2 linked regions of the Arabidopsis thaliana genome follow. The protein of the gene in region 1 interacts with the protein of each later gene in a pairwise test. Each region holds a gene or a part of one and is shown in the gene's direction. Other genes may lie near its edges.

Region 1 (5,727 bases):
CGGAGCTGACAAAAGCTCGCCGGTTTGGAAGAATGTTAAGCCTTTTGTGGAGTGGCTTCAGAGCGCTGAGTCTGAGTCCGAAGAGGAGGATTGAGTCACTTTTTTCTTCCCTCCTAACTTTTCTTTGCGGCATTTCTTATAATACTTCGTCAGTTTTCAGAATTCTTAAATCTTTTTGCTGTGTTCTTATAAAGAAACATCATCTATTAAAGTTGTCTTCGTTTGGATTTGGTTTTGACGACTTTGGGAAATATTTATGTTTAAGAAGGTTTCATTGGTCATTGACTTTTATATATTATATCGTAACCATGATGTGATAGTGGGCCTTAGATCAACAAACATGCGAAAAACAGAAGCAGAGGCCCGTTTCAACGGAGCATAATAAATTGCATTCTCTGTCTTTTGTTTTTAGGTTTTTTTTTTAACTGATAGATGTGCCGTCGAAAATAATATTGATATTTAAAAATTCACAACAAACATTCTTAACTGACCCACCCATCTATCTGCTATTCCCACGCGCCAAGGAAAATAATAATAATAGCGAAATTGATTTTTACATTTATTTATTGATAGATAATTTGTGTATTGTTAAGATTAACAGATTTTAAGGGATTAAAGTGGAAAAGGTAAACCGAAGACAACTTGCCATTTACTGATTTACAACAATCCAAATTTAAAAACAAATGGTCCCAGTTTTTAGGGTTGTCACTTAAATTTATCGAAATATTTACACTTTAATTGGGTAAAACATAATGGACAGAAAAACAAATATTGTGACAAACAAAAAAACATGTTTTCACCAAGAAAAACAAAAACAAAAAAGATGTAAAGCTTTTCTTACATCTGTACAAAATAAAAGCAGACGAAATTGTACTTTATTTTCCTTATTAAATTGTCGGTATGTTTTATATGTTGTGAAAAGTAGAATGGATAACCAAATAAAAATTACTGACATCTTAATAAAGTTGGTTCAACCGGTTTAAAATGTATTTTTTTAGTGTTAACAACTTAAAGCTTTTTTCGATTATCGAATTGCAACAAACAAATATATTAACAGAAAAAAGGAATCATGTATCTATTTCAATATCCTGTTTTTTTTCTTCCATTTGGATATTTAGATCTTTTTCTGAATTTATCTTGTTCTTAAATTAAAACAGAAAAAAAGATTAAAAGTAAGACAGCTTGCTAATGGCAACCGCAACAAACAAGATAATTTTGAAACGGATCCACTTGGATTTTCTTTGATTTTGTAGAAAAATTGACAAATTGCTTTTGTATAAAAACAAAAAATGTACCGTAAAAACACACACATAAAAAATAAAAAGTGATAATGACAAACAAATAAAGTGGTATTTTTCTTTTATCTACTAATGTGATTATAAAAAAATCGACATTGAAAATTTCAACACATCTTTTTCGCCAAAACCTGAAAATGGTCTTATTATAACATAAATTAGTTTTTTTGTCTTTCTATTATATATTCAATAACTCATCCCAACTTGAACAAACCTATTTCAAATTTTTTTGTCTTGAATAATGATAAGTTCCGTAGTGTTCTTTTCTGTTGTGACAAAAAATACTAGCTAACGAGGGATAAGCACAAAAACATGATTAATGTTTCTCTAATCATTCTAAAAATCTACAGGAATATTCCCTTTTCAGTTTTTTCTTTCTTAAATGCATTTCTTAGTTCTTCATAATTCAGTGAGTTTTAATAACAATAATAAAAAAAAGAGCATCATTAATTGAACCTAAAAATAATGAGAAGAAAAACCAAAAAGATAGAGAGTAAGATGCACGCGCTAAAGATCGAACGGTTAATAGAATCAGGTTAGTGAAGAGAGATATTAAAAGTTTGTTGTCGTGTGGCAAAAACTATAATTTCCTTCTCACAAACAAAAAAAATAAAATCAAACACAAAATCCCGTAGCATCGTAACAGTAATTCGCTATTATCTCCTCACCCTCCGCTTTCGCTTCCCTTCTCTGCCCGTTTCAATTCCTTCTAAGACATCACGGTCTCTCTCTATAAAAACAGTACCTACCTCTTCTTCTTCTTCTTCATTCGCTGACTTCGTTTACACTGAAAACAAATACCTATGTCACCGCCGTCGGCAACCGCCGGTGACATCAACCACCGTGAAGTAGACCCGACGATCTGGCGCGCTTGTGCTGGAGCCTCCGTCCAGATCCCTGTCCTTCACTCTAGGGTTTACTACTTTCCACAAGGTCACGTTGAGCACTGTTGCCCTCTCCTCTCTACTCTTCCTTCCTCCACCTCGCCGGTTCCATGTATCATCACTTCAATTCAGTTGCTCGCCGATCCGGTCACCGACGAGGTCTTTGCTCACCTTATTCTTCAACCGATGACGCAGCAGCAGTTTACTCCGACTAATTATTCACGATTCGGCAGATTCGATGGCGATGTTGATGATAACAACAAGGTGACTACCTTCGCCAAAATTCTCACGCCTTCTGATGCTAACAATGGAGGTGGCTTCTCCGTTCCTCGTTTCTGTGCTGATTCCGTCTTCCCTCTGCTTAATTTTCAAATCGATCCACCGGTTCAGAAGCTCTACGTCACTGATATCCATGGAGCTGTTTGGGATTTCAGGCATATCTATCGCGGTACACCGAGGCGTCACTTGCTAACAACGGGATGGAGTAAGTTCGTCAATAGCAAGAAGCTCATCGCTGGAGATTCGGTGGTGTTTATGAGAAAATCTGCAGATGAGATGTTCATCGGCGTTAGGAGAACTCCGATCTCAAGCAGCGACGGAGGAAGTAGCTATTACGGAGGAGATGAGTATAACGGTTACTACAGTCAGAGTAGCGTTGCCAAGGAAGATGATGGGAGTCCGAAGAAGACGTTTAGGAGATCTGGGAATGGTAAGTTGACTGCTGAGGCTGTGACGGATGCGATCAATAGAGCGTCTCAGGGATTACCATTTGAGGTGGTGTTTTATCCGGCTGCTGGATGGTCTGAGTTTGTTGTGAGAGCTGAAGATGTTGAGTCTTCAATGTCTATGTATTGGACTCCTGGGACTCGAGTCAAGATGGCTATGGAGACTGAAGATTCTTCTCGGATCACATGGTTTCAAGGCATCGTTTCCTCTACTTATCAGGAGACCGGTCCATGGCGTGGATCTCCATGGAAGCAGCTTCAGGTATATGATGTTTTTGAAATGGTCTTTGCTCTTCTTATCTCTATAATGTTGCGTTAATGGAACAATTCAGAATCGATCTTGTATCTGTTGTGTGCAAGCCTTTCATGAGTAGTTTAAGTCTCATCCTGGTTATTCAAATGTCAATTGGGTTTTGAATGTTGTTTTGATTGCTGTGTTGTTGTTTTGAAGGTAAATATTGGAAACAGGATAAGTTAATTCATACGAAAATGAATGTTCTCTCTCAGATTCATCTTCTATAAGATGGAATTGAAACTGGAAGATTTGGCTTAGTATTGTTTGTGTTGAGCGTCCGTGATGTAGAGTTGCTTTTCATTATCCTTCTTTGGCCACGCATTGTACATTGTGTTTGTTAAACTAGAGTTCCTCTGATTAGTCTTATGAGATACTCCTTTTTTGCCAATATATTCTACTTCCTCTGATTAGTTCCTTTGTTTTTAACTTGCGTAGATCACATGGGATGAACCTGAGATTCTGCAAAACGTGAAGAGGGTGAATCCATGGCAAGTGGAAATTGCTGCACATGCAACTCAACTGCATACCCCTTTCCCTCCAGCAAAGAGGTTGAAGTATCCACAACCCGGAGGAGGGTTCTTGAGTGGAGATGATGGAGAAATCCTTTATCCTCAAAGTGGACTGTCTAGTGCAGCAGCACCTGATCCAAGTCCTTCTATGTTCTCGTATTCTACATTTCCTGCTGGCATGCAGGGAGCCAGGCAATATGATTTTGGGTCTTTCAATCCAACCGGATTCATTGGAGGAAATCCTCCCCAGCTATTCACCAATAACTTCTTAAGTCCGCTTCCTGATTTGGGAAAAGTGTCGACTGAGATGATGAACTTTGGCAGTCCGCCATCAGATAACTTATCGCCTAATAGCAACACCACTAATCTGTCCTCTGGAAATGACCTGGTTGGAAACCGAGGCCCCCTTTCAAAGAAAGTTAACTCGATTCAGTTGTTTGGCAAGATCATTACCGTGGAGGAGCATTCTGAGAGCGGTCCTGCAGAGTCTGGCTTGTGTGAAGAGGATGGCAGCAAAGAGTCCAGCGACAATGAGACACAGTTGTCCTTATCACATGCTCCTCCAAGCGTGCCTAAACATTCCAACAGCAACGCAGGTTCTAGCTCCCAAGGTATATTCCGATCTCTCTCAAGTACAATAATCAATTGAATCAGTTGCTATAAGCTTTTATTACTGTTTTGCACAAGGCAATTTCTCTTCCTTTCCCATGAACTATATTATGTAGAGTAGGAAACACAATCATGATTTCTGATATGACTTGACTGATGATGATACTTGTGAAAACTATCTATATATCTCTTCAGTAATCAGTCGCCTTGAGGTAATTGGAATTTGGAACTTGAACATTACTTGGATTTTAACTTTTCAATAGCATAAGCTTTCCTGTTTCATCATATATGTTTCACTATACTTGGTATGCTTTTATTACTGCTGATATTTACTATTCCTGCTATTTTTTTTGGGTCTCGTTAACGGTAATAAGGACACAGAATTGGCTCTTTTATCCATCTGAACTAGACATTACTGTACAAGTAGATGAAGAATTATGTGGTTCCATTACAAATTTGATTTGCAGAAAGCTTGAAGCTGCTGCTTATAGACGATTATAATGTTGGAAGATCCTGAAGCTTGGAATGATTTGTACTTTTCTTCTGTTTGTGTGTGTTTTGACAGGTTAAAAAGTGAAAGAAGTGGTGGATCTTTGCTGGAATCTCCAAGTCCTAAGTAGTAGTAGTAGTACTATTATATATAATTCTGTTGTTTCTGCAATTGACTTTTCTCTGGCTTTTCTTTGCCACGTGACGATTCCGTTTTTTACTTTCTTTCTTTTTTTTTTATCAATTTCTCAGACACATTTGATGAACATCTCGCTCTCATCTAATCGTTAACTATTTTTATTGGGGTAAATGTCTGGATTTGTCTTACCTAAACATGTTTTAAGACTGATGTTTATGCAGAGTGAAAACAGCAAATAATTTAATGCTTTATTCAATCCCTATGCAATGGATCTAACTTAACGGCGCCAACCAGAGAGTTTTACTAACTGTTTTTTGCTTTTAGTTAATATTCCTAATAAATAAAAAGACTGCCAATAATAAAATCGGACCATTTTTATTCTCCTAATAAATAAAAGAAGCTCAAGGGAGGTCCCTCCTACACTTTTCTGACTCCTTTATGTTCTGTTCTCTGTGATTCATTAACGGATCAGCTATAGCATTTCCAATTTGTCAGTAAGTTAGGGTTGGTTTGATTAGCTAATAGCTACCAATGAGACAAAATATATTAGGTTGGTTTGATTAGCAATTAAGACGACGACTTGAATTATGCATAAAAAGACATTTGAGATTTGAAGATCTCATTAAACAATTGGAGGAGACTTGGCTCCATGTCTCTCACTGTTTTGCACGGTAATAGGAGTACTACATTATATAAATTTGGTAAAACTAGATCAACATCAGATTGTTTCAATGTTTATGTGTACTTGGGAAGAGTGGCCCTGCAGGTCTTAATTTAAGTTT
Region 2 (4,999 bases), on another chromosome or scaffold:
GAGAGAGAGACAGAAGTACAAGTAGACTATTTATTTTGTTCTTTTTTATTATTTTTGCACACTTTTTTTTTTTTTTGCTCGCATAAAATAAACAAATTTTAAAAATATATATATAGTATTAAAAAAGAAGCTGATATGGAAAAGTCATAAACAATAAATAAAACTTTAACCAAAAGAAGAATAAAATTTTTGAACGTTAGTATCCGTTGTATAAAAGTGTATATATTAAGTTCCAACTGTATTTTTTTCTCATATCTATTTATTTATTTTTCCTTTTTATTATATGTGTCGTTTTAAAGTTTTTGTTTTACTCTTCTGTAATGTATTATACAGAAATAACATAATTATAAATAAGCTGGATTTTACCAATTATTTAATATAAAACGGAAAGGGTATGTTGTTGAAGATACTTGATGTTTTAAAATTTGAAGTTGTTGTAGTCATTGTTAAGGGTCGGCTGATGAGTCAGGACAACTCATTGAAACCATTTATTCGATGTTTCAAATATTAAACAAATAGACAGAAGATTCTACTATCTTCTTCAAAAATATAATATTAAACACAAGTCTTTGTTTCTTTGCTAGCTCTAGTTACAGAAATTTTGAATTAAAGCTATGAAAATAACTTTACGTTTAGTAAATTGCTAAAATATTCAGAGCGATCAGAAAGGAATGTTTGCTCTCTCATCTTAAAATTATATATTTGAGGTGATGCTTCTTCACCAACATGGGCAGATGGGCTTATGGAACCATTTGCTGATTAATTGCAGTCATTGATAACTGTCTGGGTGTGTCATTGTCATCAAAGTGATTGTTCAAGGAAAACATGTTTGGGACGAAATTGATTCCCAATCATGTTTAGCAATTGGGCCAGTCAATTCCCCCGATAATCTAGACCTAAAAGCCCAAACCAATGTAAGCAATACTGGTGTAGGAATACTTGTAAGAAGATTTGATATGACTCCTACTAGAACCATAATGTGGATGGACTGTTGAAGTAGCATAGTAATTACTAGCCAAAACATCCATGGGAAAAAAAATAAAGTACAAATATAAATTTTGATTTTTTTTTTTTTTATAAATAGAACAAAACTAAACATGTGAATAGGCCATATCTCTTAAATTCCTAACAAATTAGCATAATATATTCACGGAAATGCGTTACAAACCGTATTATAGAATAAAACTCCACTTTTTACTGTGAATTACTATAACAAAAAAGAAAGAATACACATTTGTAAAATTCACTTATTTGTTACCACATAAGATTTATATTTTTCCAAAAGTAAATTATCCATAAAACCTTTAATTTGTTTTTTTGACAATAAAAGATGAAGAAAATAAAATTTAATTAATTTGCGTACTACATAACTGGAAATAAAAATATCACATCTGATTTACTGCTATTCTTCTCTAAATTAAAAACTTCAAAATCCATTACTTAAATAATTAATTCATAAAAAAAATATTTGCAATATTAATTGACGGTTAGTTGATGTCATAAAAATAATATAATGGCACTAAATTCTATACAGAAACAGAAATAAACCAATTATGAGATACTCTACTTTAATGTATAGTTTGAAAAACAAAAAAAAATCCCCAGCTACGTTCAAAACCTAACGAGAGAGCATTAAATTAGACAGCAGTGTTGTACTAGATTCGCAACAACATCAATACGTCACTTAAATTAAAATAAAATACGAAAACATTAAATTAAAATAAATTTTAGAAAAAGTAATTAAAACGAAGGTTACTTATTATAGTGGGGAGATTAAGCTTTTTGAGTAAATTCCTATCTACAAAATACACGCTTCTATTAAAAAAAATAGAAGCCCAACGACCACACAAAAACAAATTAATTAAATCATAAAAACTCATAAATTAAAATAAAAAGCAATAAATCCAAAAAAAAAAAAAGGAAACTCCGAAAACGAGACAGCATCAGAAATTATCGCCATAAATAGCCCCCACGTCTCTCTCTCTCTCTTCTCCAAAGTCTTCTTCTTCTTCTTCTTCTTCTTCCTCTTCTTCCTCTCTGCTTTGTCTCTCTCCTTCTTCAAAGTCAAAATTCAACAGGTATTTATATTTATAAACTTTCCTTTTTTTCTTTAATCTCTTTCTCGGGAGCCTCTCTCGTATATTCTCGCACGTGCACATCTCGTGCCACCTGGGTTTGGGGGGATTCGTCTTTCGAATTCGATCGATTTCGTTTTTTTTTTTAGATCTGTCTTTCCTTTTTTGGGGTGTGAAGAAGATGTTTTCTTTTATAAAACCCTAATTCTCTCTTTGTGTCTTTGTGTTTGATTAGTGGTTCATGAGTGGTATTGTGATCGATCTGTTACTTTCGGAGAGCGAGCAATAAGAAGAGGATATGTCGTCACTCAGCAGAGAACTCGTGTTTTTAATACTTCAGTTTCTCGATGAAGAGAAATTCAAAGATACTGTTCACAGGTAATTTATATTATATCATTGTTTAATTGCGGTCCCTCTTCCTTTGATTGTCGGGATTAGAGTAAAGTAGGGATTAAGATTAATTAATTTTGATTTTGTAATTTAGCATTATTTCTTCAATGTTAATCCAGAAGCAGTTACAACTTTGGATATTTTTTTTGACTAATTAGGTTGGAGAAAGAGTCTGGTTTTTTCTTCAACATGAGGTACTTTGAAGATAGTGTAACAGCTGGTGAATGGGATGATGTAGAGAAGTATCTTTCTGGATTCACTAAAGTTGATGATAATAGATACTCTATGAAAATATTTTTCGAGATTCGGAAGCAGAAGTACCTTGAAGCACTTGACAAGTAAAGTTTCACTTGTGTTGTTTAGTTTTATTGAATTGAAGTGTGGTTTTGAGTATTGATTTGTTTTCCCATCTTTTGTTTTACCATAGGAAAGATCATGCCAAGGCGGTTGATATTCTTGTTAAGGAGTTGAAAGTGTTCTCGACATTCAACGAAGAGCTTTTTAAGGAGATTACCATGCTTTTAACCTTGACTAACTTCAGGTACATTCTTTACTTTCTTAGCACTTTTTTTTTATGGTTTCATTGACCACTGGATTGTTATAAACCATGCGCTTGTGGTGTTGATGTTTCATTTACTTGCAATAATTCAAGGGAAAATGAGCAGCTTTCCAAGTATGGAGATACTAAGTCCGCAAGAGGTATCATGCTTGGGGAACTTAAAAAACTGATTGAAGCAAATCCTCTCTTCCGAGACAAACTTCAATTTCCCAGTTTGAAGAATTCTAGATTGAGAACCTTAATAAATCAAAGGTACAAGCTTTGTTTTTTTAACTTTTGCTCCCGTTTTTCTTTTGGTGGAACAACTAACTGAACGTTGCTTCTGCTGAATCATAGTTTGAACTGGCAACATCAGCTTTGCAAGAATCCTAGGCCTAACCCGGATATAAAAACACTATTTGTTGACCATACGTGTGGGCATCCCAATGGTGCACACACTCCTTCCCCTACAACTAATCATTTAATGGGTTCAGTCCCTAAAGTTGGAGGCTTCCCACCATTAGGTGCTCACGGTGTAAGTTGCTCTAAGATTACAGCTTCTGTTGGATTAGTTTTTAGCACATGAATTTAACTTTGCTAGTTTGTATGCTCTTGTTCAGCCATTTCAGCCAACACCAGCTCCTCTTACAACATCTCTTGCAGGATGGATGCCTAATCCATCGGTACAACACCCTACTGTTTCCGCTGGGCCTATCGGCTTAGGTGCCCCCAACAGTGCTGGTAATGTTGTCCCTACTAATTTTATTCTTCTGAAATATGTGTGTTGGAGATTTAGTTTACCAAATATTAGCTTATACGGTTATGTAATTTGCCATCCCTTGTTTAGATCATCATTAGTTGGATGGTTATCTGTGCTTCTTTGACTGACTGAACTGCATGAAATGATATAAATATATTTACTGAGTTACATTTTCCAGAGCTGTAGTGGTAAACTGTCTCTCTTTTCTTTTACGGACTAAAGCAGTTTTTAGTGGTAAACTGTCTCTATGGTGGATTAGAGAGAGAGAGAGAACTATATGCTCATATCAGCCGTTTTGTTTAATTTCACAATACTCTTGTTTATAGATAATAGATAGAGAAGCAAACATTTAATTTAATGTCAGATAGCCTTGAAGTGCTGTCTTAGGTCTGAAACTTTTATTTATTTCATTTTTTGTAGTCCATAACGTGGAGATCAGTTTGTGTGTGTTTACCAATTGCATAGCTTACCATAATCTATTTATTCTTCTTTTTTTCCTTGCAGTGTCTATGTTAAAGCGTGAGCGTCCCAGGAGTCCTCCAACTAATAGCCTATCAATGGATTATCAGACGGCAGATTCTGAAAGTGTGTTGAAGAGACCCAGACCTTTTGGTATTTCAGATGGGGTATTAACGGCTGCTTGTTCGTTTTTCAGCTTAAGTTCTCAACTTTTCTTAGAAGTCACAACTTTCTTTGAACATTTTACAGGTTAATAATCTTCCAGTCAATGTCTTGCCAGTCACATATCCAGGGCAAAGCCATGCTCATGCAACTTATTCTACTGATGACTTGCCCAAAAACGTTAGCAGGATTTTGAGTCAGGGTTCTGCCATTAAGAGCATGGATTTTCATCCAGTACAGCAAACTATGCTCCTTGGTTGGTTTTCTCCTCTGAAGCACGCATCATTCTTCTGTTTTATTCTGGTTTATGCCAGAGAAACCTGCAAAACTTGTATCAGACAGCATAACTTTCATCTTCTCAGTACAATCTGCTTACTTTATCTTGGATTTACATTTGTTTCCTAGTTGGCACCAATCTTGGTGATATTGCAATATGGGAGGTGGGTAGCAGGGAGAAGCTCGTTTCTAGAAGCTTTAAAGTTTGGGATCTTGCTACTTGCACTGTGAACCTTCAGGTATAGTTCCTCTTTATTGATCTACTGTAACAGTCGAATGAGGTGGGAGATTTGTTGTTAGTTAGTTAAAACTATACAGAGGATTTTCTTCTCTTTTTAG

Evidence for each region.
Region 2: the proteins of ARF17 (region 1) and WSIP2 interact in a two-hybrid assay, tested with the Arabidopsis thaliana proteins (one study listed by BioGRID).

Annotation. Positions count from the first base shown.
Region 1 is NC_003070.9:29,270,307-29,276,033, forward strand, and holds ARF17 (auxin response factor 17), read left to right. Parts: upstream 1-1,898; 5' UTR 1,899-2,098; coding exon 2,099-3,166; intron 3,167-3,634; coding exon 3,635-4,357; 3' UTR 4,358-4,882; coding exon of another isoform or gene 4,883-4,887; 3' UTR 4,888-5,201; downstream 5,202-5,727. Other genes in the region: AT1G77840 (Translation initiation factor IF2/IF5), read left to right, coding at 1-94. UniProt on the Arabidopsis thaliana protein: Auxin response factors (ARFs) are transcriptional factors that bind specifically to the DNA sequence 5'-TGTCTC-3' found in the auxin-responsive promoter elements (AuxREs). Could act as transcriptional activator or repressor.
Region 2 is NC_003074.8:5,369,244-5,374,242, reverse strand, and holds the start of WSIP2 (WUS-interacting protein 2), read left to right. Parts: upstream 1-1,953; 5' UTR 1,954-2,078; exon of another isoform or gene 2,079-2,310; 5' UTR 2,311-2,373; coding exon 2,374-2,453; intron 2,454-2,623; coding exon 2,624-2,803; intron 2,804-2,892; coding exon 2,893-3,006; intron 3,007-3,117; coding exon 3,118-3,276; intron 3,277-3,360; coding exon 3,361-3,538; intron 3,539-3,623; coding exon 3,624-3,744; intron 3,745-4,267; coding exon 4,268-4,389; intron 4,390-4,471; coding exon 4,472-4,640; intron 4,641-4,789; coding exon 4,790-4,899; intron 4,900-4,999. UniProt on the Arabidopsis thaliana protein: Transcription corepressor of Zinc finger transcription factors GAF1/IDD2 and ENY/IDD1 in regulation of gibberellin homeostasis and signaling.